Linked DNA regions of Elephas maximus indicus. The protein of the gene in region 2 purifies or fractionates together with the protein of the main gene of each other region. This does not show direct contact. Links are inferred from orthologs where the notes say so. Each region holds a gene or a part of one and is shown on either strand. Other genes may lie near its edges.

Evidence for each region.
Region 1: the proteins of SMARCA1 (region 2) and POLE3 purify together in Homo sapiens (affinity purification with mass spectrometry; 3 studies listed by BioGRID and IntAct, with this or other methods). This does not show direct contact. The link is inferred for Elephas maximus indicus from reciprocal best matches to the Homo sapiens genes SMARCA1 and POLE3.
Region 3: the proteins of SMARCA1 (region 2) and cat eye syndrome critical region protein 2 purify together in Homo sapiens (affinity purification with mass spectrometry; 3 studies listed by BioGRID and IntAct, with this or other methods). This does not show direct contact. The link is inferred for Elephas maximus indicus from reciprocal best matches to the Homo sapiens genes SMARCA1 and CECR2.
Region 4: the proteins of SMARCA1 (region 2) and BPTF purify together in Homo sapiens (affinity purification with mass spectrometry; 4 studies listed by BioGRID and IntAct, with this or other methods). This does not show direct contact. The link is inferred for Elephas maximus indicus from reciprocal best matches to the Homo sapiens genes SMARCA1 and BPTF.

The regions. Positions count from the first base shown.
Region 1 is NC_064827.1:62,659,304-62,667,019, forward strand, and holds POLE3 (DNA polymerase epsilon subunit 3), read right to left. Parts: upstream 3,003-7,716; 5' UTR 2,872-3,002; coding exon 2,806-2,871; intron 2,707-2,805; coding exon 2,621-2,706; intron 2,251-2,620; coding exon 2,132-2,250; intron 1,846-2,131; coding exon 1,673-1,845; 3' UTR 301-1,672; downstream 1-300. Other genes in the region: C9H9orf43 (uncharacterized protein C9orf43 homolog), read left to right, coding at 5,615-5,765, 5,873-6,016. UniProt on the Homo sapiens protein: Accessory component of the DNA polymerase epsilon complex. Participates in DNA repair and in chromosomal DNA replication.
Region 2 is NC_064846.1:26,951,812-26,959,346, forward strand, and holds the start of SMARCA1 (probable global transcription activator SNF2L1), read left to right. Parts: upstream 1-4,463; 5' UTR 4,464-4,521; intron 4,522-4,892; 5' UTR 4,893-4,961; coding exon 4,962-5,132; intron 5,133-7,535.
Region 3 is NC_064822.1:55,490,752-55,498,442, reverse strand, and holds the start of cat eye syndrome critical region protein 2, read left to right. Parts: upstream 1-4,638; 5' UTR 4,639-4,977; coding exon 4,978-5,103; intron 5,104-5,308; exon of another isoform or gene 5,309-5,449; coding exon of another isoform or gene 5,450-5,498; intron 5,499-7,691. UniProt on the Homo sapiens protein: Regulatory subunit of the ATP-dependent CERF-1 and CERF-5 ISWI chromatin remodeling complexes, which form ordered nucleosome arrays on chromatin and facilitate access to DNA during DNA-templated processes such as DNA replication, transcription, and repair.
Region 4 is NC_064837.1:56,115,826-56,123,396, forward strand, and holds the start of BPTF (nucleosome-remodeling factor subunit BPTF), read right to left. Parts: upstream 3,035-7,571; 5' UTR 2,999-3,034; coding exon 2,386-2,998; intron 1-2,385. UniProt on the Homo sapiens protein: Regulatory subunit of the ATP-dependent NURF-1 and NURF-5 ISWI chromatin remodeling complexes, which form ordered nucleosome arrays on chromatin and facilitate access to DNA during DNA-templated processes such as DNA replication, transcription, and repair.

The DNA.
Region 1 (7,716 bases), on a different chromosome or scaffold from region 2:
GGCACTTAAAATAATGCCGGCACACATTAGGGGCTCCAGAAATGTTGGGAATTGTTGAGAATCTAGTATGGTATAGGATCCCAGCAGTCAGTCATCAGTGAAGGTTTCTGCCGTGGCTGAAGAACAGCTTCTTTGCCTGTGAACGAGCGGCACCTCCTGGTCACCCAAGGTGATGCAGAACCCCACGTTTATAAAAGCCTGGCTCAGTAATACACCATGAATCGTATGAGGCATAATCACTGGGCCATCCTCTCCAAAAGCACACCATGAACAAGGAGAATGAAACAGAAGTCATCACTTTTAACAACAATGTTCTTTATTTATACAACGCATTATAGTTTTCTCAAGATTCTTCACTCGTCAACAAACTTTTCACTGTATTCATTTGACAAGTTAACAGTATCAAACTACATTTCACTGTCAAACTCTAAGCATTCAACTTAGAGACAAAAAGTGCTTGGAGCACTGAAGAGAAAGAGAAAAAGGCTAAGAAAGGCCAACAGAAATACTTTGGAAGCAGTTAAGGGGATGGATGGTTTGGGGGAATTATATTCCTGAGCACCATCAGATTTTGCTTAACGTTTAGAGAAGTTTTACAGAATCATTTTTAAAAGGCATGAGATTATAACTAAGGAATCAGAGGAACCTTCACTTTTATATATTAAGCAGGTTATCAATGTTTCTGAACTGACAGAAGTGAAAAAAGGAAAGAGAAAGGGTGGGAATGGGAAGCAGAGCAGAGGCAGGTAGACAGAACAAGAGAACCACAAATGGAAAAAGTTGTGCATTGAGGTTATAAAGTTTGGAACTCATCATGAATTGAAGAATGAAAAGCTGGTCTCAAGTCTGAGAGATGGACTGTGAGAGAAAGCCTGGGATTTTACACCTTCTAGGGGGGTGAAGATAAATCCTAAAGCTGTACAGTGGCAGGCAGTGAGGTGCATCTAAGACTAAGCCACCTGTTTTGTAAGAATAAGACATTGGCACCCTTGCTTGACTAATTACACTCTACGGTGCTAATTTAAAAGCATGGATGCCCAGAGTGCACCCACCCCAAGAAGTTGAATAGCTATATGCAATACACAAGACTTCTAAGTCTAGGGAGTCTGTCAAGATTCACTGTCAAGTGAAGGAACAACGGGTTTCATTTTTCTCCCACAGCTTTTTAATAGTCTCTAAAACCTAAATTGCGCTTATCACTCTTAATAAGCTAGTACTGACAAATACTGTACAATCAAATATAGGCTGATCATGATCAAAGCCCAAATTTTTCCTGAGTCTCGGCTGACTGTGATCGGGAACACAGCAGGCAGGATAAAAGTTACTACTTTCTTGGGAGGTACAGGGAGGAAGGAAGTGAGAACCAAAAACTGCCTAACCATATATATAACTAAACAAGAGAGATCAAATTGGCTCATTGAATTAGCTGCTCAGTATTCCTCTTGTCAAAAAGTCATAACCTTCAGACTAATTAAGCAAAACAAGATTCTGCTACCCAGATGCGCTGAGTCTAGGAAGTGCTAGTTTTGATAATAATTCTAGCCAGTTTTATTTCCATCTTCTCAGGTACTCCCACCTAAGACTGCTCTGCCCAGCAAGTAAAAGCTTCACATAAACGTGTATCACATATTTCAAAGTGGTACCTTCCAAGGTGCCAGTCTTCCCATCCCATTCAGTTGTCCACCTCCTCCTCCTCATTCTGGTCTTCTTCTTCCAGCCTTTCCTCATCTTCATCGTTGTCCTCATCCCTGCTCTTGTCTTGTTCTTCCGAATCTGTTTTTTTGTCTTTGTCCTTTTTCTTTTGCTCTGAAGCTTCTTTCTTGCCTTTCTGCTCCCGCCTGTATGCTATAAGGAGGAAAGAGGGGGTTAGGAGGCAGGGCTGGATGAGTGAACCAGACTCCAGCAGCTAATTCCATTCCATAGCTGGAAAAGCTGAGGCACGGAAGGAAGAATAACCTGCCCGCATCAAAAACAGATCTGAGGTGGTGCAAACTGAATGGGTGCCGAGTCACACCCAGTACTGGCTTACAGGACTTTAGGGGACCCATGCTGAAAACGCCTCAGGGCCAGGTGAGCAGGTCACACAGGATGACCATCTTCTATGTGGCTGAGAAAACGGAAGGGTCGTTACCTTCCAGAGCCTCTTTCAGCGGAGTGATGAAGCGCTGAAACTCCATCTCTTCCATTGCTGAGAGCACATCGCTAGCATTCAGCGTCTTGCGCTTCCCTTTCATGGCGAAATTGTTGGCACTGAAAGAGGAAAAGCAGAAAGGGCCTTTAGAGGCTGTCAGACCCCCTCTTGATGCCTCTGGAGCGGGCAGGAAAAGCGCACCCTGAGTTGGACTGGAAAAGCCTACCACTTAGATGCATTATTTTTGTGGGTGTCATACAGCTAAGTCCCTCCCTTACCTGTACAAAAGGACTACAGCCAAATTACTTTGTTGTTGTTGTTTCACACCCTGTAACAACTGGGTGAAAGCTGTGAACCTCTCCCCACGGAGCCAGCACACAATCATTCGGGTTTGTGGGCTCCGGGCCAAGACTCCCCAGCTAAGGGTCTCTCGGAGCCTCCCTAATGGTTCAACCCTAGCTGAGCTCTGGTTAACTCTGCCCCGCTCACCAGGACGTGGCATACAGCACGAAGACGCTTGCGGCACGGGAGATGGCGCTCCGGGCCTCCTTGGAGATATTGACGCCGTCCGGGAGCTGTGAGAGAGCGGCGGTGAGCAAAGTTGCCCACCCAGGACCTGTTTCCCTCATGCCCACTCGTCCGGCCCAGCCCACCCGCTAGCCTGGCCTGCTCACCGCCTCCTTGATGATCCTGGTGATGACGGCGTTGGGCAGATTTAGGTCCTCTGGCCTTTCTGCCATTGCCGCTGCCGAGGCCAGCGCCTCCGCCTCAGGCCTCCTCTTCAAGCCACTACGGCGTCCGGACTTCCCGCGTCGATGCGGTCTGACCCACGGAGGCTTCCGTTCCGGTCCACACGGCCCACACTGTCCCACAGTGCCCTGCGCAGCATTATCGCCCCACCCCAGCCCCGCCTCCGGTCGCCGGCGCTTCCAGAGTTTCCACGCATCAGGGGTTTTGGCCCCCTGGGGTTTCCTTCAGGCCCCACAGTGCCCGGAACTCCCCACCCCAGCCCCATTTCTCTTCTTCGTGCTACTAACACGTTCGTCGCGTTCGCTGCAAATTAAGTATGGCTCACTGGGGTTTCCGTCCGTTTCCCTTGGTGCTTCGCGCCGCTGCTGGGCGACGGCTGGGCCTGGAGGTGTGAACAGAGCTGGCTGGGCGGGGCCTGCTGACGGCCGCGCCGCGAGGAGCAACGCCCTCCCGCCTGGCTTTAAACTCTTACTGCTTTGAAGTCTCCTTTGGATCCGCGAATTGTGGCTCCCGGATGCCAGTTTCTCCCACTTCTCTTTTCCGAAACGAAGCGGGGACTCTTTCTCCAGCTCTAGCGGAGCTGATGTTCATCCTTAATTTTTTCGCTGCTGCCAACTTTGTAATGCTTATACTAATAATAGCTCATATCTAGAGTTTATTCATTGCAAGCTACCTTGCTGAGGCAACGCTAATGCTTGCGGGATTGAGATGGGTGTGGCTAGATCTCGGGGCTCAATTCTGGTTGGGCATATAACGAAAGGACCCGGAGCAGTAGGTTGTAAGAATAGCGAAACTCAGTCACATTGAAAACAAACCGTGTTAAAATTGTATTTTTTAATTCATAAAATGGTTCTCCTTACATCTTTCCGAGTCCTTCAGTTTTGTAGTAGTTTTTTAATTTGTATTTTCATATTAAACGCGTAGAAATTGTCCTCACTTCTACTTATTTTTTTCTTGAAACGTGGTCCTCTTAAGCCAGCCTTTCATTTTCCTGCCCTTAATTGAGACGTGGGTACAGAGAAATATTTCCCTATTATGAGAAAAACAGCAGAGCAAATGTGCTAATAAATGGCAACTGAAACTGCTTCGGTTAGAGGCTATAGGGTCAGGTGGGGAACACTTGGATGTAGCAGACCTAGTTTAAAGATGTCAGAAGCTAATCAGCTCCAGTCATTTCCTGTTGTGTTGGAATTAGGCCCAGTATTGTTAGATATTTTGATTTTTTAAGATGGGGCAGAAATCTGGACATCAATTCTTAAAATATTATGTCTAAAGTGCAGGCCAGACAAAACAAGTCACAGACCAGATGGAATCCCAGGGCAGTAGTTTGGTATCTCTGTCCTAAATTATAAGCTCTTTAGAACAGGGACTTTATCTTGTTCATTACTGTTCTCTGTGCCCAGGACAGTTCCCCTCAGGTACCTGGTAGTCAGTAAATACGTGTTGCATAGAAGAAAGAAGAAATAGGCACTGCCCTTACAGAGCTATTAGGGTGGTAGTGATTATCTGCAGCTTCTTTAGAGAAGGCAAGATAACATTTGGTGAGCTCCTATTACGTATTACACATAAATGTACATTATCTCATTTAATACTTTTACAGTCCTCCTTAGGGATTATTTCTCCCTACTTTATATGAGGAAACAGGTTCAGAAAGGTGAAATCACTTGCTCAAGACCGTTCAGCCAGTAAATGAGAATTAATGGCCTCTGATGTAATCACATCAAGGTTATTGGTTTGCTGTTTGACCAAACACATTCATTCCTGGTGGGTATTTTAGCTGCCTGCATGGGAATTGGCACATACTGAAAAATGAAGCATGTCTTTCAAAGAAAAAGTGGTTGCTCTTTGCGTTTTTGAGCTAAGACACTTCCGTAATTTAATTGTAATTTGATAAGGCTTTTTGGAAATGGTGGCATTTCTAATGATTATGAAGGGGAAAAGAAAAAGGATGGTAATGTTTCTTATGAACTATATGTCAGACATGGTGATCTGCTTCTGTAAAGATTACAGCCTAGAAAACCCTATGGGGCAGCTTTACTCTGTCACGTGGGATCACTGTGAGTCTGAATCAACACCACGCACTTAACATATATCAGACCTTTTAATATCTGTTAACTAATTTTTGTAATAACCCTGTGAAATAGGCTTATCCTCATTTTACAAATGAAACAGGTTAAGTCCCAGTTTACTCAGCTATCAAATGGCCAATTGCGAGACATTCTGAAGTCAATCTACTTCTAAACTGTTGACATTCTGCCTCACGCTGAGATGTTTTCATACTTGCTTCTACCAAACCCTTAATTATTCTACAAAAAAATCCGTTGCTGTCGAGTTGGTTCCGACTCATAGTGACCCTACAGGACAGAGTAGAACTCAAGGAGCGGCTCATGAATTCCATCTGCTGACCTTTTGGTTAGCGGCTGAGCTCTTAACCACTGCATCACACCAGGGCTCCAATTATCCTATGACCACCGTTTATCTATATGGGCTCAATAGAAATGTTTTATACTTTGAGTCCAAATAAAGATCTGGACTGCATGGCTAATGTATCCCAGTGCTGTTGAGTCGATTGCGACTCATAGCGACCCTATAGGACAGAGTAGCACTACCCCATAGAGTTTCCAAGGAACGCCTGCGGATGCTAATGTATAATGCACTCTTAATTATGTGGTTGTCGTTTCTCCAGAAGGCTAGAAAGCTGCAGGGTTGGCTTTTGTTCTAAGCCATTTGGCTATGGACTTGCCAGATGCGAACCAGTGGGATGAAACCACTTGTGCCTCTGCTGTTTGTCCGCATCCGCAATGCTGGGCAGCTCTTCGCAGGATTGAGAGGGGCCACCCTCGATTGCTGGGTTCACCCTGCAAAACTCCCCTGGATACTGAAGGTATATTAGCCAGCGCCTGTCTCCTTCCTCACAAGTCTTTAAAGTATTTGTTTGACCTTCTTCTCCAGGTGACATGTTACATAGTTTCTTCTGGTCTGTTTTCTCAGATAAACTCCCAGTGCTCACTATTGTAAATATCTCAGATTCCCTCCGGCCTAAGAGATGTGCTCAGCGTTGTTTATCGGGATTTACCTTTGCTAAGACTCACTCTTTGTTGTCTCGGGGTTCAAAGTTTGACTCCAAATTTCAAGGCAGGTAAATTATCATTGAATCTACTTTTAAGAGCTTACTATCTCAAAATCTGGGTTATGACTTTCCTTACCCATACAGAAGACTTTGAGAATGCTGAGTTAAAAGAAAAAAAACGCTAATTCAGTTAAAGAAGCGGTAAAAACAGAGGGGAAAACCCAAAGAAAGCATTCTTACTGTGTTCTAGGAGTTGGTTAATTTGGGGGTACCTCATCAGTATCTGTAGGTCATCAGGAAACAGTTTCCACACATACTGTCTTACCTTATAACTTTATATATAAAACTGTTTGTAAGCCCCTGAATGCAGAAGGAATGACTTTTTCTTTTGAACCTCCTGTAAAGTCTAGGTACCCAATTAGTGCTTGTTGATATTGAAGCTAAGGGATAGGAATCTGTGGAAAATTTAGACTTTCAAAATCAGAAGACCTCGTTGCCTAGAATCAAAGCACTGGTTGTGGCCCTGGAGCGGTTTATTTTCTCCTGTTCATTTAAGCAGCCTTTGATGATTTCTTTTAGGCTAAAGACAGTATAAGAGAGCCCTGGTGACATAGTGGTTAAGCACTTGGCTGCTAACCAAAAGATCAGTGATTCAAACCCACCAGCTGTTCCTTGGGTTACAGATGTGGCAGTCTGCTCCTGTAAAGATTACAGCCTTGCCCTCTTTGGGGCAATTCTGCTCTGTCCTATAGGGTCGCCATGAGTCGGAATTGACTTGATGGCAATGGATTTTGAAAGACAGTATAGGAAAGGGTAGGGCTACTTTCAGGTTCTCTAGAACTTGAAACCCTGGAAAACAGCTGTGCCTCCCAGTCAGGACCTGTGATGTGCTTCGCATAGATGCACAGGCACACAGTTCCAACCCTGCCATGCCCATGGTGTGCATGAGGGAGCTGCCTCATCCAGTTAGCTCCTGGTTTCTGTGCCTTTGTCCTTCAGCCTCTCCTGCTTTCTGATCTTACCTCTTTATCCTGAACCAGCCCCTCATTACCTCGTTTGTGGGTTTTTGCAGGGTCTTCTGAGCTGGTCTCCCTGCCTCTTCCCCTCTAAATCTTATATGCTACCAACAGATTAAGTTTCCAGAAAATATTGCTCATATCTCTTTGCTCAAAGTCCATGATTAGTGCTTCATGTACTATAGAATAATACAGCCAAATTTCCCTATTGTGGAGCTGGTAGCCTCTTTACTCTCCAGCTCCTCTCTGCTCTGATACCACCTTTAACTCTGAGCCAAACTGGCTTTCCTTTTGTACTTTTCTGTCTCTGACACTTTATTCATGCAATTTCCTCCACCTTAAAAGCTCTCTTCACTCCTCTGTTTCACTAACTCTCTGTGATAGTCTGTAAGGCCCTATAAGGTCCTGCCTTCCTCATGGACCTCATCTTGCATTCCTCCCCTCCGTATTCACCAAGGTCCAGCCGTTACTGCCCTTTCTGTTCCTCACATACTCCACACTTCTATCCCAAGACTTATGTACCTGCTGTTTCCACTGAGTGGAATGCTTTTCCCCCAGATCAGGGTTTCTTCACCTGACACTTGACATTTCGGATCAGATATTTCTTTGTTTTTTGGGGGTGCTGTCCTGTGCATTGCAGGAAGTTTAGCAGCATCCCTGGGCTCTACCCATTGGATGCCAGTAGCACCCCACCCTCAGCTGTAACAAATAAAAATGCCTCTAGATATAGTCAGATGTTCCCTGGGAGC
Region 2 (7,535 bases):
TGCCAGGATTATTTCAATCTGTCCAGTTTCAAGCGATGTTTTTTGACTCACCTTTTAAAACATTAGTTATTTATTATAAAAGTAATATACCTTCACTGAGAAAAATTAGAATAGAGAAGCAAATGTAAGAAAAAAATCATTCAGAATTCCACCACCTTGCTATAACTACTGCTAACATTTGGAGTAGAACCTTCCAGGCTTTTTGTTTTATGGAAATATATTTATGTAAATGGATTATTTATTTTTTTAATGGGATCACTCTATTTTGTTGTCTGCCCTTTTTTCACTTAATATATGAGGAACATATTTTCCATGTCAACAGATACATATTTAGGTAATCATTCTTAATGGCCACATAGTATTCCATTTGTGAATATACTATACAATGTTTTGCAAATCCTCTCTTGGATATCTAAGTTATTTCCATTAGGTTTTCCCCCTCCTTTAATTAAGGAGCCCTGGTGGCACAGTGGTTAAGCTCTCAGCTGCTAACCAGAAGGTCAGCAGTTTGAACCTACCAGTTGCTCCGCGGGGAGAAAAATGTGGCGGTCTGCTCCCATAAAGACTAACTCCCCCCGCCCAAAAAAACCCAAACCTGTTGCCGTGGAGTCGATTCTGACTCATAGCGACCTTATAGGACAGAGTAGAACTGTCCCCATAGAGTTCTGTAAAGGTTACAACCTTGGAAACTCCATGGGGGCAGTTCTACTCTGTCCTATAGCGTCTCTATGAATCGGAATTGACTTGACAGCAAATGGGTTTTGGTATCTTAATTGTCCCAAGTCCCATTACTGTTCTGAGAATATATTTTAGGTACATGCAAGAATCCCAAATTATTCTCCAATTTCCACCTTACACCTTACACATTTATGTAGAGCTAAAGAAGTTATCTGGATAAGTACATACTACCAGAGCTGTAAGAGTGACAATGTTTCCTCATAAAGCTAGCAACAGGTGGCAGACATATTTTTCCACCATTTTCTCAATATGATTTCTACTGTCCAGGAGAAAGCCCTGTGAAGAATAGAGAACTTAATAAAGGTGAAGTGGAAAGATGAGGTGTGGAGCCAGACAGTCCAGGATTTGAATCTGGCTTTGGTCACTTACTAGCTGTGGAACCTCAGATGAGTTATTTAGCCTCTCTGACTCTCAGTTTTCTCATCTGGAAAATAGGGATAATAATATTTGTTTCATGGAATTATCATGGCAATTAAAAAAAAACTTTTTTTTTTTTATTACACATCATATGGAAAGAACCTAGCACAGTCCTGATACAACAGCGGGTGCTCGAGAAACAATAGAAGTATACTAAAACACAAAAAAAACCCCAATATACTAAAAAAAAAAAAGCTGTTACTATTTCCTTTTCTTTAGCATACACGGCAGCAAAGAAATATCACATTTTCAAAGAGGCCATCATCATAAGTGTCTTCAAGAAGAATGGTGAGAAAGTTTACTGATATGAACAGCATGGTTACTAGAGTTTTAAGCAAGACAGTGTGACCAGCCAGAATCTTTCGTACTAGCTTCTAAAGAACAGTCACCAGTGGGATAACAATGTGGTTTTAAGTCATACTGTGGTTTTGATGATAAATTTCAGACACAGGATAAGAGAAGGAACATCAAGCCCTTGACCTTGCCTTTATGAACTTTACAAAAACATTTAATACCACCAGTGGACCTGCATTCTGGTAGCAAAACAAGTTGGGCTATGTGAAAATGACTACTGGACAACCTCTACAACATTCACAATCTGCCAACATGGACACATTGTCCAGTAGACTAGCATTCACTTTGAGGTTCCCAAATATGGTCTCATAGTTCTTTATAAAAATGTTGCTTTGTTCTCCAACCCCAAGAGAGTGGAGCAATTAAAGACCATTTTGAATGAAGACACATAACAGGAGAAAGCAGTAACAGAGCAAGGTGCTGAATAAGATCAGAAGAGAGGTAACTCTTGTTGAACAAAGTCTATAGATCACGAATTTTAGACAGATTTGCAAATAGGGGTAGCACATGCTCTGTAAATAGCAGCTGCTGCCACAAGTCAAAGGGCAGTGTTTACATGAATCCTGTGGCAAGGACTATTGACCAAGCATCGATCTTTACGGCCAAATTCATATACTTGGGAGCATTTTCAGTGGTGTCTTCTAGAAAATGGAGGATCATATTATACATACATGAAAAATCTTCAATGTACACATATGTTCTGTCCCCCAAATTAATTTCTAAGTTCTTTTTTTTTTTTGGAACTTGGAACACGTTTCCACAGAAAAGGTGTTATAAAGGGATGAGTTTCTCAGATTTCCTCACAAAAGTGCACTGAACCCACAATATAACGAGTATGCTGTACATTTTGCCATGAGAAATACAGTGGAATAAAGTTTCCTTGCAAGCAGGAGCACATCAATACACAATATTTATTTTTTTTTAAATAATATTTTATTGAGTTTTTGGTGAAAGTTTATTCAGTTCCCATTTAACAATTTCTGCACAATTTGTTCAGTGACATTGGTTACATTTAACCAATATTTCTTGAGCCTTTCTCCTTTGAAGCCCCAGGAGAAGAAATGGGATCCTATCTTCCCATACCCACCATACCAAAACGAAACCCGCTGCCATCGAGTTGATTTCAACTCATAGCAACCCTATAAAAAACCCTATAGGACAGAGTAAAACTGCCCTATAGAGATTCCAAGGAGCGCCTGGCAGATTCGAACTGCCGACCTTTGGTTAGCAGCCATAGCACTTAACCACTACACCACCAGGGTTTCCCCCATACTCACAGCTTGGTGACAAAGAAATCCTCCACTGCCATTATCTGGAAGGGCTCTTCTTAAGTTAGGTGGGTGCATGAATTACAGCATTGTGTCTTATGGTCCTTTTTGAACTTTCCCACCAAAGGGCCTTTAAAGATTGAACAGGGAGTGGGAAAGGGTGAGAATGTCTAACTGGAAGTTTCAAGCTTTTCTTTGGAGACACTCCAAATTCTGCAGTCCACTCCTTAATACATCTGCGCATTTTAATAGAAAAAAACTGTGTTTAAAATGATCAGTTAAGAGGCTTAATTTTGTGCCATTTTTTGAGTAAAGTTGATGCTCCAGAAACATGAGCCATTTTTTACTGAGGCTCCCTATTTCCCCTTGGATAGTACACATGTGCACTCCAGGCTAAGAAACATGGGGGCCGGGGGCAGTGGGAATCTAAGTGAGAGGAACATAATAAAAGTAACCAGCACTATCAGCCCCTGCTTTCAGCAGCACACCCCTTCAGTCACCAGTGTCCTGCTCTTAGCCTCTTTTTTTTTTCTCACTCAAAGTCAGTTCCCAGATAGGATCATACACTCATTTGCACTAAGGTGTAAATGATTCAATAATAGCTGAAAAGGTCACATGGTTTTTGCATTAAGGATTCACATTTTTAAAGCAGAAAGGAATTTAGAATATAATCCCCAGGGAAAAGGGTTTTTTTTGGGGGGGGGGAGGGAACGCTTTCCTGCTGTTTCCAGATATCACACACACCTCATTTAAGATTGGTAATTTAGGAGGGTATAAACCCATACCCATTAAGAGGGTATGGAGGGTCTATCAAGGGAATTTGAGCCCTGGTGGCACAGTGGTTAAGAGCTATGGTGGCTGACCAAAAGGTCAGCAGTTTGAATCCACCAGATGCTCCTTGGAAACCCTATGGCGCAGTTCTATTCTGTCCCATAGGGTCGCTATGAGTCAGAGCTGACCCGACGGCACCTAACAACATCAAGGGAAATTAACCATGATTTGTTTTTTTTCACTTTGGGAAGTATTTGCTTCATTTTGGAAATTGTAGACTTTGTGGTTGTTGTTTGCTATGCTGTTTTTTGTATGTTTTGTTATCTTGTGTCCCTAATGACTGAAATTTGAAAGCTTGGATGTAAATCTTCTCATTATGGATCAAAATAAATGTTGAGGAGAAATAGTAACAATAATATTTAATAGTTCCTTTGCATAGTGTTGCACCCTTTACAAAGTGCTTTCATACCCATAATCATGTATATCATCAGTGCTCAATTACTACCAAATAACAACAAAGGGAGTGTGAATAGGAAGAGCACTAAAAAAATCACAGCGATTCAATCCAATCACACGTACTTGGTACCCACCATATGCTACCTCAGATTCTCTGGGACCCTTGACCTTGCCCCCCAGGAGTTTTAAAATTCAGTGGCTAAGGCAAAAGAAAGGTTCTGCAGATGGGCCTTCTGACAGGTATCAGAGTTGGAAAAAAGAGCAAACATGCATAAAACCCAAGAGCCAGGCTTTGCCTTGTGAGTGTTTGCAGCTGCAATCAGGAGATGCAAGGAGTGCTTCTCCTTTTGAAGAATTTAGGATGGTAGGTATAGCTCCACCAATTCCCGCTTAGAGACCTGGGAAAGGTCAGTCCCCAGAGGCGTTCCGGGTTTTGAAAACGGTAAGAATGACCTGCTACAGAACAGTTAGAAGCCGAGGAAAAGTTCTTTGTGCAAGGAGGGGAGAGCGCCCTGAGGTACAAAGAGCAGATTTCAGGCAAAGAGGATTCCTTCTGCACACTTCTGCGAGGGGAGCTCGGCTGACTGTTGGGGGCGTGTGGGGAAGAAGATTTGTAGGGGGCCGTGGCCGTGGGTTCCCGCTTCCACCCCTGTCCGCGCCCCACACCCAGGCAACAGTTGGTCGCGCGGGGCCCGCCCGGGCTCTGGGTGGGGAGGGGGAGTCTCGCGATCGTTGAGGGGGGGTGGAGGCAGGGGGGAGGGCGACGGGGGGAGGCCATGACGTAGGGTGGGTGGACGGAAGTGGGGCAGGGTTGAGGGTTATTTAAAGAAGGGGGGGCCGAGCGAAGGGGTTGGAAGCGGAGTGATTCCTCACCCCGGCTCCATCTAGCTCTTTCCAGAGCAGCCACTGTCGCCGCCCCGGAGCCCTCGTCCCCTTCCTCGTCCCTGCTCCAACGCCATGGAGCCGGACACCGCCGCAGTGGCAGCCACCGTGGCAGCCGCTGATGCGACCGCCACAATCGTGGTCCTAGAGGACGAGCAGCCGGGGCCGTCCACCTCGAAGCAGGAGGGAGCGGCCGCCGCGGGCACCGAAGCCACCGCGGCCACGGAGAAGGGCGAGAAGAACGAGGTAGAGAGGAAGGGGGTGTGTGTGGGGGGCGGACAAACGCGGGCCTGACCCCGCCGAGGGCCCCAACCCTGACCTTTCGGCGCCGACAGGTACCTCCGGAGGCAGCGCCGCAGGGCTGGGGGCGGCGGGCGCGGGCGGGGGGCGGTGGCGCGGCCAGCCGGCCTCCCCTCCCCCTTCCTGTCGCCGCCAGCCGGCGGGGGCGGGGCGCGGCGCGGGCCGGAGGGCGCGGGAGCCGGGCCGGGGGCTGCGGAGCCCCGCGACAGCCCCGGCCCCCTCCCCATTCCCGGAACTGGGGGACGGCGGGGAGGTGGGGCGGTGCAGGAACCCGCCGCCGCCGCCGCCGCCGCCGCCGCCGCCGCTCCCTTTCCCTCTCCGCGCGCCCTCCCTTCCCGGCGGCCTCCGCTTGGGAAATCTGGGCCCTTCAATCCCACCCTCGCGCCGCAGGGGCTTCGCTGCGGCTGGTTTTTTCTTTGCGTTTCAAGGTGCTGGTGGTTGGGGGGCGCAGGATGAGAGGGAAGACATTTCTTTCTTTGCTTGGCAATGTCGGCCTTTTGGATGGCAGAAGAAAATCATTCCTTGTTCTTTCTGTCCCTGCCTGCTGAAGTGGGGGGTGTCACCCCGAGAAAGCGAGCTATCCGCGGCGTGCCCCCCAGCCGCAAGCTGAGGAACCGTGGACCTTGGCTTAGGAAAATTTCCAACGTATGCACCCCCACTCCCTCCCGCCCCGCCCCCGACGGTATAGTGTTTCACTCCAGGGCCACCCAAATGGTCCCCCAATCCGGCCCCACGCCTCCCAGGCTTCCGCCTCCCTCTCCTAGTGGGCGCTGCTGGCTCCTGGACACAAGCAGGTTTTTTCTTTTCTTGATTTTTTTTTTTTAATCAAGCGTCGCCAGGGTGAGCTGCTGCTAATGTACATAAGGGACTTGACACCTATTAAAGCCAACCCCAGAAAATATGTATTATTTCCATAACGCATATTTCATGTGGAACCAAGACGTGCAAATGAAATTATGAAACGCGCTGAAAAATTGAGGTTTAAAAAAAATTGGATGTGGCATATGGATTTTTGATATCTAATAACGTTGCAGAACAGATCGTTTGCGGGTGGATTTTCTCTATTAGTAGACATATCACAATTTAAAAAATGGTGGGTAATTAAAATTATGCTTTAGCGATCTCAAGTGGCTTTGTCTGAATCATTACATGATAGCATACGACCAAATGAAAAGCTTTTGAGGGAAATTAACACCTTTTGTCTTGAATTAAAAGAGTCAATTTTAAATTCAGGACTTGCTTAAGTGACATTTTACTGTTACAGGGTTGACTAAACAGACAATTGTGCTGAGTGAAAACCGTGGAAAACATACAGATATTTAGATGTAGACAGTACTCGGATCAGTAAGATAAAAAAGCTGGGCCAAGTACCAAGCTTCAGTATAAATGTTGGGAGATTAAAAAATGTGTTTATTCTAAAGGTGCCTTCTATTCACCAGATTGGGCAAATGTAAAGTGCAAAGCTTTTTTTCATGTGGCGGTCAAGGTGGTCGAATTTTCCAGGCTGTATAAATTTTTCGATTTCTGAAAAGACTGGGAATCAATTAAAAAAACCCTACCACATAAAAAACAGACCTGATACATATGAGATATATAGATTCATAAACTCTGTAGCCTCATCGGAAATTGTATTTGTCCACTCAGCATGGGGAAATGGGAATGCATGGTGGGAACTTTCTGGATAACTGAAGTTTACTACTTTAGTCACTACATCTTTTTTTTTTTTAATTTTTCCCTTGAAAATCTAAGTATATTGCAAATGCCCTTGCCTCCTCAAATGGTGTGTTAAAAGTACAAGTTATCCTTTTCCTCCTGACCATCAATTATCATATCTAACACTGACACAAAGGCAGTTGAGGTCCAGGAGATGGTTTCCCCTAAAGTAAATACCCACTTCCCAGGCCCTTCCAGTATTGTGTTAATTATTTAAATACCTTTTCGGTGTCCTTCCTCAAGAGTCAAGCTGTCAGCTACCACTTTTTAAACACCTCATCTGCTTTCATCAGAAGGGAAGGACATAAATGTAACAAAATGATTTGAAATCTCTGTAAAATGCAAAAATACAAATGATGAAGCAGAGAAAGGGAAATAATGATACCTGAACACCAAGGATAAGGAATGCTGTTGTAGTGGAACACAGGTATTAGTCCTGTGTTCTTCTTGCTGTTAACAGTGTGCTACTAGAAGTCTTTCCCGTGTCATCTGCTCCTTACTTTATTCTCTGTGGTGTGGGAAGCCAGATTATCAAATTTGCTAGAATTATACGGTGAAACCTGTGAAAGCCGGAATCTGTGTAAGGCAGATACCTGTCAGAGAAGGAAAATGCACACATTTTCCACTAATAGTGAT
Region 3 (7,691 bases), on a different chromosome or scaffold from region 2:
TGTTGAAATAATACTATTTTAGATATATTGCGTTTAAGAAAATATATTATTTAAATTGAATTCAACTTCTTAAAACTGATGCATAGTTTGAAGAAGATAAATCTGGCTACAGTGGGCAAGATAGATGGACTCTACAGCAACGGGTTTGGTTTTTTTGGTTTTAAAAAGGAATTGAGTTTTGAGTGGGTTATGACCAGAGAGGGTGAGTTATAAGTCATTCCAGGCAACTAAATGATCAAAAGGGAGGAGGCAAGGAGATGGCATTGCGTAAGTGAGCCAGTACGGCAGGAGGAAAGGAGTCACTGGTGGGATAGAGGTGAGGGTGTGGAGAGCAGATATGGCTGGAAAGGCAGGTTGAAACCAAATTGTGGCAAGTCTTGAATAAGAATCTACAGGACCCTTAGAGTATGGCCCTTGCACACCCTTTTAACTCACTACTGAAGTCACTCCTGAGGTTTACCCTTCAGCCAAAGATTAGACTGGCCTGTAAAACAAAACAAGTCTAGACGGACATGCTGACCTAGGGGCAAGGACAAGAAAGCAGGAGGGGACAGGAAAGCTGGTAACAGGGAACCCAAGTTTGAGAAGGGGAGAGTGTTGACATGTCGTGGGGCTGGCAACCAATACCACAAAACAATATGTACATTGTTCAACGAGAAACTAATTTGCTCTGTAAACCTTCATCTAAAGTACAATTTAAAAAAAAAAGAATCCACAGGACTTGAGACTGTCTCTCATGTGCAAGTGAGAGTCATTGAATTTTGAGCAGATGATCGACATGACTGAATTTAAATTTCATGGAAGTTAATCTGGCTGTATTTTAAAGATTAAAGCCATAGAACTCAAGAATCATTTAGTCCAAGCCCTTCCTCTCACAGATGAAGGTATAAGGTGATTAAGAGCCTTTCTAAGAGAGAACAAAGATTTCCTGCATACTAATCTGATTCAATTTCTACAATTTCTAAGAATTTAAATTAGCCTGGCATATAGCCCTCTTCAGAGTCCCCGGGTAGTGCAAATGGTTAATGAGCTTGGCTGCTAATCAAAAGGTTAGAGGGTCCAGTCCGCTCAGAAGTGCCTCGGAAGAAAGTCCTGGCAATCTATATTGAAAAATCAGCCACTGAAAACTCTATGGAGCACAATTCTACTGTGACACACATGGGGTCACCATGAGTCAGAATTGACTCAATGGCACTGGTTAACTGGTTACAGACGTCCTTAATCTAGATTCTAGGAGATAAGGCTGGAAATAAGTCCAGAAAAATAGAGCTGAGACTGTAATAAACAAATGGTCAAAGCAGGGTCAGTGATTCAGAGTATCAGTTCCAACAGAGGTCCACGGGAGACAGTCAGCGGAGGTCTAAATGGAAGGTTCTGTTGTTGTTGTTGTTAGGTGCCGTCGAGTGGGTTCCAACTCATAGCAACCCTATGCACAACAGAACGAAACACTGCCCGGGCCCGTGCCATCCTTACAATCGTCGTTATGCTTGAGCCCATTGTTGCAGCCACTGTGTCAATCCACCTCGTTGAGAGTCTTCCTCTTTTCCACCGACCCTGTACTCTGCCAAGCATGATGTCCTTCTCCAGGGACTGATCCCTCCTAGCAACATGTCCAAAGTATGTAAGACACAGTCTCGCCATTCTTGCCTCTAAGGAGCATTCTGGTTGTGCTTCTAAGACAGATTTGTTCGTTCTTTTAGCAGTCCATGGTATATTCAATATTCTTCGTCAACACCACAATTCAAAGGCGTCAGCTCTTCTTCGGTCTTCCTTATTCATTGTCCAGCTTTCACATGCATATGATGCAATTGAAAATACGATGGCTTAGGTCAGGCGCACCTTAGTCTTCAGGGTGACATCTTTGCTCTTCAACACTTTCAAGAGGTCCTTTGCAGCAGATTTGCCCAATGCAACGCGCCTTTTGATTTCTTGACTGCTGCTTCCGTGGCTGTTGATTGTGGATCCAAGTAAAATGAAATCCTTGACAACTTCAATCTTTTCTCCACTTATCATGATGTTGCTCATTGGTCCAGTCGTGAGGATTTTTGTTTTCCTTATGTTGAGGTGTAATCCATGCTGAAGGCTCTAGCTAGAGCAAAAACTCGGAATTCAGAGATCAGATTTATGGTCAGGCTCAAGATATATTAGGCTCCTTAGCTCCTGGGGCTAAGAACTGATTTCCGACTCAGGGTGAAGGCTGAGCTAGGAATGGGGTGGGATGGAGGGGAGTAAGATTACAGCGATAGATGGGGAGGAGCCAAGCAAAACATTGCGGAGAGTGGACCAGGGTTAGAGAATGATAGAATTAAATAGGTGTAAAGATGACCTGCAGGATCGTACGGGCATTGGGTGCGGACTCTCAGAAGAAAATGGCAGCTAGAAGTCAGGTCACACATTAGGGAAAGAAAGGTGCTGAGAAAGAGAGTAGGAGACCAATCTCCAACCACCACTAGGGGGGCACCTCCAGTTCTAGGACAGCCTTGTTGATTTACAAGACCTGGCTTGGTGACGGGGGTCGGGGGGCGGGGGGGCGGGGAGAGGAAGACAATAGAGTAACCTCCAGTTTGGGGTAGGAGGTGGAGGGAAGAAGTTTGTAACTGGCATTCAAATGTACAAGAGTAATTAACGAGTAGCCAAATCTTCTTCTCACCGGTTACTTCCTGGTATTAACATTTTAGGCACTATTATTACTAGTCTGGCTAGTAGGGACAATTGTGAGGACAGCTAAAGAGGTTAAACAACGATAAAAGATAAAGGCAAGAGTGAGCAGACAGATGAAGAATCAGGAAAAAGGTGGGGAAATAAGAGTCAGGGTATAATGGATTAGAAACAAATATGAAGAAAAACAGCATTTTTAAAATAAGGAGAGGAAAAAGTGTGGAAAGTGAAATTGATGGATGAGGAAATGAAGAGAGACAGGAGAAAAAAGTCAGAAAACATCTAATTTAGGTTATATGATTAATCCCACAGTGGCTTGTCGCCCTTTTCACATCTCATCTATTAATGGGATATCTATACCGTAGCTGAGCTTTAAAAACACATAAAAATGTTGTCTTTGCTTTTTGGGAACATTTATATGTGTGCTCACTTTTGTCAAAAATTAAAACATGGTAGAATTTGAGGATGAAAAAGCACAACTCCTCGGCTGTTTCTATTCCGCAGAGAGAGAGCAATGCTAGAAGATGAAGTATTTAGAGATTAGCTGATTCCCTGAAGACACACGTAAGTATACATTTTAGGAATTTGTTTTTGAATGCTGGCTTATAAAAACCACAACAGGTTATTAACATGATCAGAACAAAGTAGGGGAGGGGTAGGGGAGAATTATCCAGACAGCCCACTCCAAAATCATCTAATAAATTCGTTCATCATGTTTGCCATTCCCTCCAGACTGTATACTGCTCAGAGGTAGAAGAGGGTCTTTGATTTTATCACCGTACATACATCACTCAATACATATATGATTAATTTTGGGAAGTGTCAGGGGCAGTGCTTCCTGAGAGGAAGACTACAGGAACGAGCTAAGGCCCTTTGAGGCTTGAGTAGAATATAGTTCTAAATAATTGCAAAGACCAACGTGCCTGAAAATAGCTGGGCATTCAACGTAGTTTTTCAAAACTTCTAGTTTGTTTTGGAGGTGATTTTTTTTCCTTTCGGGTTTAACACAATTCTAACAAGCCATAGTATTTAACATTTCTAAAGCCCACGCCTCAACACCCTTCTCCTAGATCACATTCCCTTAGCCTAGGCGTGCGTCTCCACCCCCACCAGAACAAACTCCCCAGACTCTCGTTCGCACTTTCCCCATCCCCCAAGCTTTCTAGCCACATTGTGCGCACTCTTCCAGGCAGCTTTTCCACCGCGAGGGCAGTTGCAGTGCTCATAACCCGTCTTCTCTAGGGCGGTCACACGTGTCCATTCCCTGGGGGGGGGGGGGATCCCTCTTCCCGCATGGCTGCTGATTGGTGCCTCCCCCCTACCCCACCCTTCCCGCTGCTCTGCAGCCTCCATCCTACTTAGTTCCAGCTTAACCAGCCCCACCACCTTTCTCCTTTGGAGAAAGAGCCACTTTAGATCTCCTTGAAGCACTGTTCTTGAAGGGAATAAAAGCGTTAAAGAACAGGTGGAAACCACTTAATTTCTCTAGGCCTCATATTTCTGGGGTGGACGTCCCACTCGTTCCCCTGTACTACCGTCAGTATCAATAATAACTGAACTCCCACACGTGCACGTTTCTGGATCTAGCCCCTACCGAAAGCACCACCCAGCTGGCCCTTTAAAAGGACGCGACCACTAAGGCCACGTGGGGGGTGGGAGAGACCCTTATTGTCTTCCAACATAAAAGTAACTAAACTCTTCAGTCCTAACCGCCTGGAAAGCAGAGTATATGTAGTAGTAATTCATAGGGCTGCACCTCGCTCCCTTCAAGTCACACTCCCTCTCTTTCTTGGGGTGCTCAGCCCCCCTCCCCTCCCCCTTCTCGTTCAATGCAGCTGTCCAGGCGGGGGGGGTGGAAAGTGGGGGCGGGGGTTGTTGTTGTGGTGAGGGACGGCCCCGCCCCCTCCTCGTGTGCGGCCCCTCCCCCAGGCCCTCTGTTCGGCCCCCTCCCCCCCGCCCCTCCCAGCCCCATCTGTTTTCCCCAGCGGTGAGATGATTATATTGTATGGGACTGGGGGCGGCCTCAGCCGCATAAGCAGAATGGGGCGAGCGCGCGGACCCCGCAGGCTGCGGGAGCAGCAGCCGCCTCAGTAACTCGGGCCCTCGAGCCGACGCCCCCCGCCTGGGTCGCCCGCCCTCAGCTCATGCACACGCCGAGCGGCGGCAGCAGCGGGCGTAGCAGCCGCCGCCACCCCCGCCGGAGTAGCTGAGGCGCTGCGCCGCGGCGGGAGTCCGAGCTGAGCGAGCCGAACGCGGACAGCGTGGGGCCGCCGAGGCGCGCTTCGAGCTCGGGGCCGCCGCCACCGCCGCGCCTGGGAGATGTGCCCGGAGGAGGGCGGCGCGGCTGGGCTGGGCGAGCTCCGCTCCTGGTGGGAAGTCCCGGCCATCGCACACTTCTGTTCGCTCTTTCGCACCGCGTTCCGCCTGCCCGACTTTGAGATCGAGGTGAGTGCGGCGAGGAGCGGGCGAGGCGGCGCACAGTGCGCCCCTTTCTCCCTCTGCCCCACTCGGGGAGTCCCGGAACATCCTGAAGGACGGAGCTGGAGAGCGAGAGACTTTTGCCTGTAGTCGGGAGCCAGGAGAAGGGGTCGGAGGTGGGGGGCGCGAGGCGCAGAGGGGAGGAGGGCGGGCGGGAGCTCCTCCGGGCTTTGCAAAGGACGCCAAGTGCGGGCGTCCGGGTTTGGGACTTTCTCTCGGGCGGTCCCTGTGCTCACCCGCGGCTTCTAGAAGAAGGCGGCGAAGAGAGTAGCGGAAAGGAGGAGGGAGAGCCTCTGCTTTTGTAGGAGTGGGAATGGGGGGCGGCTCTCCCGGGAGTTCTCTGGAAGGAGAGGCTGAGTGTGGTGAGAGAGTGCGTGCGCGCGCGCGCTCCCTTCCCGGTGCCATTGAAGCTGCGAGCCAGCTGCTCCGGGCGGGGACGGGGTGCAGGCGGTCGAGGGGGCTGGGGGTGGGGGGCGCCGGCGGTGGATTAACTCGGACCGCGGGCGGGGAGGCGGGCGCTGGGGTTGCTTGGGGGAGGAATCTGTTGTGCTGGGGCGAGACTCGCCCCCACTTCGGTGGGCGCGTTGGGGGGGGGAGTCGCACTTTGCAGACTCCCGGAGACCCGCAACTCTCGGGGGGCGCTTTGGGTTAACTTTGGGCTGGCGGAGATGATGGCCTGGGCCGGGGGGCGCGCTCTCTTCGGAGGAGCAGCTCCGGCATCGAGCCCTTGCTCTGGGCTTCGCGGCTGCGGAGGGAAAGTTTGGGACTCCGTTATTCTTTTCCAGCCCCTTTGCTCTCGGAATACTGCCGTCTTTATTCGGGGAGCTCTTTGAGCTGATTTCGCCACCATTATTAATCCGGGCGAGCGTGGAGGAAAGGGATGGCTTTTCTGGCCAGGCCGAAGGTGCTTTCAAACCCGAGGCTTTGTGATAATTGAACTAAAATCAGAGGGTCATAGTAACAGGGATGGTGGCGGGAGTATGAGGTACAGAATGCTCTAAAACAGGCACCTAGCCCCACCAGCCTCCATCCTCCTTTATATTTTTATTTTTGGCAGGGGGTGTGAAATATTTGATTGGTTGGCAGGTTGAATTGCTTTCTCCCTTATGGCAATATATGCAGTGACTTGATCACCTTTTTTGCCTTTGGACAAAGGTAAATGGAAACTATTTGTCGGTCAGGTTTTCTTTTCAATTCTGCCAGTGGGTTCGCCGAAGGAGTCGTCAAAATAATAATCACTCTTGTGGAGGAGGAAATCGTTGTTGTTCCCTCTTCATCCCGACCACATAGGTTACTTTCTGCCATTTTCTGATTGGTTTTACTCCCAAGATTTTGGCCTTAATCTTTATTTCTAGATTTAGTCGTGTTTGCTGAAATATCATTTGCATCTTACTGTGAATGAAGTGTGGGTACTTGCTCTTGTTGCAGAATTAATGAAATCGGAAAAATAAAAAGATCAAAAGGGGGTGGGATGAGAGAATGAAGAGGAATGTAGACTGATAAACTAGGGCCACTCAATGGCTTTTAGCGATTCTTAGTACCTTAAGCTGATTAAAACAATGTGATTAAATCATAGGCTTCCCCCATCTGTTTTTTTAAGGAGTGCTTAAGAACTTGGATATTTTACATAGCACCACAGCATTTGTTTTCAAAGTTTGAAAGCGAATGTAACAAGCATGATTTTTAATAAAAGTGTTTGTGGGACTTATTGGAAAATACCTTAGACAAATATTTGTATTGACTTAACCAACTGAAGAAACGGCCACAGAAATTAAAGATTTGGGAATGTTAAAAGTCAGGAGATGTTTAACAATTCTTCTCACGTCCTGCGTTTTCTTTTAGTTGGTATAAGATTGTGGCTAGGTTAATTATATCCTGCTGCTCAAAATGGTGGCTGTTGTGGGAGGTGTTGAGGCTTGGGACAATGCCATTTTGGGTGCTGGTAAACTTGCCCTCTAGTAGCCCTTTTTCTTCCTTGCAAGATTATAAAGTTGAGGTGATGCTAAGATTTCAAATTTAGTGTTTAAGACCCATTCTACAAATACCGTGGAAAAATTCACCTCAGAGTTCATGTGCATGTTCCCATTTTGTTGGTTGAATAGTAGAGGTAACTAATTTTGCCTTAAATCCTTATAGTACATCTAGAGTCGTCTATAAATAACTCATCTTCCGGTTTTAAGAAATAAACTTGTGGTTTCTAAGTATTAGCTGGCTTGATTCCTAAAGGAAATGTAAGCCGATCAAAGATTTGTATGCATAACAGAAATGAAAAATCATTCTAGTTACATGGTGAGTAAGCGCAACCATTTGAGATGACTGTCTTCTCTTTTGATTCTAGTGTTTCTTGGAAGTGACACTTTTTTTCGTGAAGCATATGCTATTTGAAATACATACACCACGAATGAATATTTGGGATGCAGTATACACACATTTTAAGAACTACTCACACCTGTCTTGTTTGGAGGTGTTCAGTAAGATGGATTACCAATGATAGTGACTTTTTCCCTTTGCAGTTGTTATGTAATATTTTTCTGGTTAGGTGTGTTTTGATATGG
Region 4 (7,571 bases), on a different chromosome or scaffold from region 2:
GAAAGTCCAGAACACAAACTCTCTCCTCCATTTACCATAATACTGAGAAATAATGAGTTTCAAAAGGCAAAACAACCAAGAAGTTAACACCGTATCCCCTGAAGAAAGGAAAATGCCTGGCAAGCAACACTAAACAGCATTTCAAAACACAGTAACTCTGCTATTTAAAAATTTGCTAGTCAAACTGTTAAAATCTAATTAGACCAATTTTTAGTTTACTAAAACCAAAACATTTACGAGTTATAGCACCCACTAGGGAATTATCAAAACTTCATCTATTTCAAGTTCTCGCCTACTAACTATGGCTTATCCAGACCGCCTTTGATGAGCACCTGCTATGGGCATGACTAGGAGGCGCAAGGGAGATGAGATCAAGATCTCTCATTAAGGAGTTAATAATTTTATAAAGGGATAGGACAAGTATACACAAGGTAGACTACAAACGTCATTAGGAAAAAAAATGTCACAGATACGTCATAAATACACAAGTTTTTTTTTTTTTTTTTTAAGGAAACCAGACCACGAATTGTCATGTAATTCAGCCCATGCACAGCCAACAATCCAAAGTATTATTTGTTAGGCCTTCAAACAGGAGTTAAAGTTAGCTAAACTGCCATACCAAAAAATGCCTTAGCTCCTCTCTAACCTGGAAGAACTTCCTCCAACAGTGAAATTCAGTTTCTATGGTTCATTCAATTCTAGGCTCTTGGTAGAAAGTGAACATGTGTGATTTCTTAAAGTAAAAAAACTTATTACTATAAAAAGATGTACTAAAATTACGCTGGCAAGGAACAAAACTTTTGTGCAGTCCCTTTCACATACAAAAGACAAATACTTAACACTTAATTCATTACCTTCACTCTCCCCTGCCTGTCTCCACCCTCAACAAAGACAGACACGCTCTCATTGTCAGGCAAAAGCCACTACCTTTCCCATTTCACGTTAAGACAACCAAAACAGGTTTATATCCGGTTTCATACTTCTCCAATAGGTACTGAAGCATTTGCAAAAAATGGAAACATTTCAATTTAACTACTTTTTCTACCCTAGTCTCTCTTAAACACTAGTAACACACCTTAATTTTCCAAGATCCCCGTATTTCCTCATAAACTACTTTGTAAATGCTCTTAAAACCAGATTCTAATTTAGTTAACCCAGACAAACCAAAATACAATGTCTGGCAGGTTTTTGCTACATATTTGTTTGTTTTTTTTCCAGAATTTAGTAAGCTGCAACTACGTATTTAATACAAAGCAGCAATTGTGTTGTATTTTTTTGTTTCTTTTTTTAACAAAAGGCATTTCAGCACCAACCTAGAGAAACGTCCTGAGAGAAAACAGGAGAGGAGTCACCACGAAGAAGTCCATTACTGATCCTGGATGGACTTTCAGCCTCAGAAACAGAGTGAAAAGCAAAAGTTGTTTTCTAATAGCCCTCCTCCCCCCAGTATCTCTGCTGTGTGACTTAGAAGTTGGTCCAAGTGGTCATCTTCAGCAATTATGTCTGGGTGATCAACTACGCGTCTTCTGCAACAGGTGACATGAAACTGTCTTTCCCAAGCAAAGCAATCGCCATCAAATTAGTAAGACGGCATGCTCCTGCGGTTTTTTACTTTTATTTTGGATTTTACCCAAATGATTTTGAATCGGATGAATTACCGAATTTGCTTTGGGTTTGGTTTTCTGCTTTGCTTTTCAATCAGCCATTTACCAGCCACTGTTGCACGAGCCCATTAACACCCAAGAAATAAAAACAAACACACAGGGCCAGATAAGTAAGGCTTCCTCTACTAACCCAACTGATCTATTTCCTTAACACAGTTTTTAAACCACATAGCTAGGGGAGTGAAGGGAAGAAAGTTTTGTTTGTTTGTGTGTATTTATGTGTCTGCCACAATCTATCTAAACCCTAAACCCCCTTTTAAGGAGCAGATAGACCATAAAAATCTAAAAGAACCACATTAGAAACGCAAAGAGGTTTGCAAAAACAAGTGGTTTCTTTCATTCCAAAAAACCAAACCAAAACAAGGGGAGAAAAATGAATGCAATGGATGTGTGTGTGCCAAAGTTTCAATCCTGCCCGGTGGAGACATTGCACTGGCATAAATTTTGAAGAGAAAAAAAGGGGGGCTAAGGGGAGAGAGAGCGAGCGAGTGTGGCCTGCAAAGTGCAACAATGCAATCTCCATTTTGAACAATGCGCCTCTTTCCTCTTGTAAATCTAGTTTTTTGCCACTTGATGTGCCTTCGCATTTCCCCTCGGTTTGGGGGGGCGGTGGGGGTGGGGGGAGGCCGGAGCAGGATGCACAGCACCCAAGAGGGAGTGAGCAAGGGGGGAGGGTAAGGAGGTGGGGAAGGCGTCTGCAGCAACTGGGCTGGGTGGGTACCTGGAGTGCTGCTATAGGTGCTATGGCTCCTGAAGCTGCTTTCCGTGCAATAACTAGCGTCGTCGTCGTCGTCTTCCATCTCCTCCGGATAATCGGAGTCATCGTCGTCCTCCTCCATCTCATCTTCCTCGTCGTCCTCGGAATCCTGGGTCTCCTCGGCGTCGCCGTCCTCCTCCTCCTCTTCCTCGGAGACCATGTCCTCCTCCTCCTCCTCGCTCTCGTGGTCATCGTACACCACTTTGTTGACGGCCCTCCGGGCCGGGGTGGCCCGGGCCAGGTGGCCGCCGCCGCCCCCGCCCCCCGTCCTGCCGCCCCCGCCTCCTCGCCCCCCCCGGCCCGGGGCGCTGGTGCTGGGGGGGGCCGGCGGCGGCGGCGGCGGCGGCTTCCTCCGGCTACTGCTGCCCCCCCTGGGTGAGCTCAGCCGCGTCTTGGGCGCCACCTCAGCCTGGGCGGCGGCCCACCTGCCCCGGCTGCTGCCGCGGTGCCGCGATCGGAGCCCCCCGATGGGTCCGGACGTGGGCGGCGGCGGCGGCGGCGGCGGCGGGGCCGGGGCGCAACGCTCCGCAGCGGGAGCCGCGGGCTGCTTGGGCGGCCTGCCCCGCCGGCCCCTCATGTCGGAGCCGAGGCGGGGGGAGAAGGGAAAGCGGAGGGGGGAGGGGCGGGCGGAGGGGCGGCGGTGAGGGGCGCCGGGGCCGGGTGGGGAGGCCCGCGGGGCCGGGCGGGAGGGGCCGGGCCGGCGGAAGCGGGTGGAGGGAGAAGGCTCAATCCGAATTGCTGGGGCCCCACTCCGGATCGCCTTCAGCCGCCATCTTGTTTCTTCCCTCTCGCTCGGTGACTGGGGGAACCGACAGCGGCCGCAGGCCCAGAGCGCGGTCACGTGAGCTGCGCCGCCGACGAGCCTGGGACGGAGCGAGGCCGCACGGCGGCCGCTAGGGGGAGCGCGGGAGCGCCCAGTCGGGTGCGAGGAGCCCGGGCGCCTTGGCGCGGCGGGGTGGACCTGCGGGCTCTCGCAGCGCGAGCGAGAGGTGCGCTCCGCTGAAGAAATGAATCCCGCGCAAGGCGTCGGGAGACGAAAGCCTCTGCGGAGTCCCCAGCGGAGCCCGAAATTCCCGCGTCTCCCCTCCCGGGTTCGGAGAGGAGGGCAAGGGAGCCCCAAATTTCATACTGCATGCCGCCCCCTTGGGGAAATGATGCTGCGACAGTGTCACGGAGGGGGAGGCCCGAGTGACGGGGGGGACCGGGTAGTGCTACCGACGGGGTGAAATTAACTGGGGCCCCGTAGACGAGCCCCCAGAAACGTGAAACTCCAAGCGCTTTTTTCTGGAGTCCTGAAATTGATCCCAATGACAACTGCTCCGGGGCCGTGCCAGAAACCACGCCCTGGGCTCCCAGACCCTGAAGGAAAGTCGCTTGGAAGCTTCTTGCCTCCGATAAACTCCAGGAGGCAACCACACTCTAGTTTGCGACACCTCTTCTAAGGAGCTCTGGTGGCTTGGTGGTTAAGTGCTTGGCTGTTAACGCTTACTGTAAGGGTTGGTGGTTCGAACACAGCAGCCCCTCCAAGGGGGCCTCGGTAAACCTTGTTGGGCAGTTCTGCCCTGTCCTCTAGTGTTGCTATGAGTCAGAGTCCACCAGACAGCAAGGGTTTGGGTTTTTTTGTTTTAGTTTTTTTCTTTTTACACTTTTCCTAGTGTCCCATCTAGGAACTTGATAATGGCAGCAAGAACTTTCCTGTTTCTCATTTGCAGCATAAAGGGTGACTTCCCTCCTAAAACCTGCTTCAAAATATTTTTGTCTTCTAGAGAAATTATTTATTTACCTGACAAGTCAGTAGGGTCTCAGCTTCGTCTAGGGTGGGAGTCGTGATGATGCAATTTCAGGCTCCCCACACCAAATCGGGGTGACTTAATAGGTTGGCCAAGGTACGCTCTAGGGATAAGAGAAAGGTTTTATAAACATAAGTGAGTATTTATTAAAATATGAAATATCCAAGGAGTGGTTCAAAGAAAAATAGTTAAGATAGTAGACGTGTTAACTTTGGTGAAGGGAAAGACAACACATTATGTAGGGGAGGTCAGCACAACCTGACCAAGACAAAGGAAGACACTTACAGGAGCACGAGGAAAAAAATAAAAGGCAACCACAGTAAATAAAATACTGCAGCATGTACAGTCCCGCAACAACAGTAAAAACAAATAATAACTTATAAGCAGGTACATCGGCAGATACCTATCCTGAATAGACGAAGGAGGGCGTTTAGGAGTAAACCCATGCACATATGTAGGTTAGGCTGTGGATGTTTTTACACACGTTTGTATGTACAGCGTGTATATTCATATATATATATATGATAGAGCACAAACGGAGCACAGTCATAGAAGCTTCCTCAAACCCAAAAAACCAAACCCAGTGCCGTTGAGTCTATTCCAACTCATAGCGACCCTATAGGACAGTAGAACTGCCCCATAGAGCTTCCAAGGAGCACCTAGCAGATTCGAACCGCCGACCCTTTGGTTGGCAGCCATAGCACTTAACCACTACGCCACCAGACATGTCCAAATATCTTGTGAGACTGAGTTACTGGAGCTGAGGGCTGGGAACCATGCTCTTGGGGGACATCTAGGTCAATTGGCATAACACAGTTCATAAAATGCTCAACATCCTACTTTGGTGAGTAGCATCTGGGATCTTAAAAGCTTACCAGTGGCCATCTAAGATACATCTATTTGTCCCATGCCATTCAGAGCAAAGGCGAATGAAGAAAACCAAAGACACAAGGAAAATATTAATCCAAAGGACTAAGGGACCACATGAACCACAGCCTCCACCAGCCTGAGCCCAGAAGAATTAGATGGTGCCTGGCTACCACCACCAATCGCTCTGACAGAGATCACAATAGAGGGTCCCAGACAGAGTGTGAGAAAAATGTAAAACAAAATTCAAATTTACAAAGACTGAAGGAACCCCCCAAGACTATGGCCCCCCACCCTTCTAAATGGGAACTGAAGCCACTTTCAAAGTTCACCTTTTAGCCAAAGATTAGAAAAAAAAAAATTTTTTTTTTTTAGACAACCCTATAAAACTAAGTGAAGAACATGCTTCTTAGATCAAGTATACGAGACTAAATGGGCAACACTTACCCAAAAGCAAAAAGAGAAGGTAGGAAGAGACAGGAAAACTGGATGAATGGAAATGGGGAGCCCAGGGGGAAAGAGAGAGAGTGCTGGCACATTGTAGGAATTGTAACCAATGTCATGAAACAATTTGTATAGAACTCTTTGAATGAGAAACTAATTTGCTATATAAACTTTCACCTGAAGCACAATAAAATAAATAAATAAGAAAAATAGTTAACATTATTCTGGCCACCAAATATTTTACAATGTAAGTGAAAAAATAGAACATATGTGAAATGAAAATTAAAGAAATGCAAGTGCTAACTGCCAAATTAATTTATTAGACATAATTTGGTTGAGCACCAAGGGTCACAAACTTATATGCCTTCAATGACCAGGTGAGCAGTGAAAGTAAACAAAGTGGGCAGGGTGAGGCCTTTGGAAAACTGAGCACCCAAGTTTTGTTTAGAAAGAGCAGCTACAAGAATACAGGCCTAAAATGGCCAGGTCTTCAACCTTTTCAAGAGAAGGTGCAAATGAGGATTACACATGGAAACTCTTGATTTTTAAATATTAGCAACTAAGTCAATTTTTTAAAAGCACTTCAGATGGATCAAAATATACTAGATCAGATACAGCACTTGGAATTTTTAGTTGCAAGCAATAGAAATCAACTATGGCTCATTTAAAAGAAACAGAAAAGGACTCCGTGAGACAGATATGGGTACCTCCAGAATTGCTGGTTCCAAATGTAAATGGAATCCAGGCTCCCAAGCTATTGTCTTGCAGCTGGCTCTGTAGCCAAGTGAGTGTTCCGTGGGCCATTCTACTGTTCGGACCATTCTACTGTTCCGTAAAGCTAGCTGCTTCAGGTGGTTGGGAGTGTAAATAAGGCTAGTGCATCCAAGAGGATAGCCCATTTCTTTATTTCTTTCATTTAAAGTTAGTCTCATGCTTGATACCATGGTGTATAAAATACCACGATGGTAAATAAGGTATTCAGTAAGTCCCTGTAGGGTGATGATGATGGTATAAGTATGGCTGGTGGGGGAAAGCAAATCCAACTTCAGTATAACCCTCTCCCCAATTAAGTTGACTCACTGTCCCCTTCATTATAGAGTCCATTATAATGACGCCTTCCAACATGGGCATTCAGCAATGGCAATAGCCAGTTCAGCTTTGCAGAAGGGAAGCACGTGTTGAATCCGTTATAACCTTGGTGCCAGCCCCCATTGCCACTTTGTGCATAACCCCTATAAGCAGGTACTGGCTTTACTAGGGAAGGAGTTTGACCTACATTCACAGGTTGGGTCTTCTTGCCCTCTAACTTGTTAAAGCTTCCTTAGCAGTGAGGATATTTTGATAAGTATTCATATGGGGCACAAAATCTATCACTTTCTAGGTTTATTCTGAGAGGTTCATCTATACCTTCTTTCTAAAACTTCTTGTCACCAATCCTCTTAGTCCCTGACCAGCTGGCCAAAGGGACACTGCCCATGACTTGGTGTAGAGTCTTTCTCAAGGCAAAGAGAACCACAATAAATACAACTCAAGGCTCTGCCTACTGGGAGATGTCCTTTTGCCACTGTCCTTCAAGACCACTTCCAACTGTAGCTATGGTACTTTAGCAGTCCATTTCCAGCTGATACCATCTGTAAACCAAGCTCAAATGTTGTCCTTCTTAGTTATATGGTCATGGGGAGTTGGGGTTGTGGACTGAGGAAGGAGTGGCAGTGAAGTGGGAGTAAACACTCAGTGAACTGGGAATTGCACTCCTGTGTTTCTCCAGGACCTGCTCAGGCCTGCTCTTCCATATACCATGTACTCTTCAGGATGGGAAGGCTACCGGGTATTTATGGCTAAATGAAACAGATACTCAGTTCATGATAAGCAGAACAGATTACACGGTCACCTGGTACCCCAAAGGTCAGGCTTTCTGTCTTTGCCAGGGCCCAGGAGCAAAGTTAAGAGCAGTTCTCAAAAAGAACAGTTATTAGCCAAAGAGAGTAAGACTTTGCTCCAAAACCCTAAATGTAACCATAGTGATGCTCCTTTGGGGGCTTGCCATGG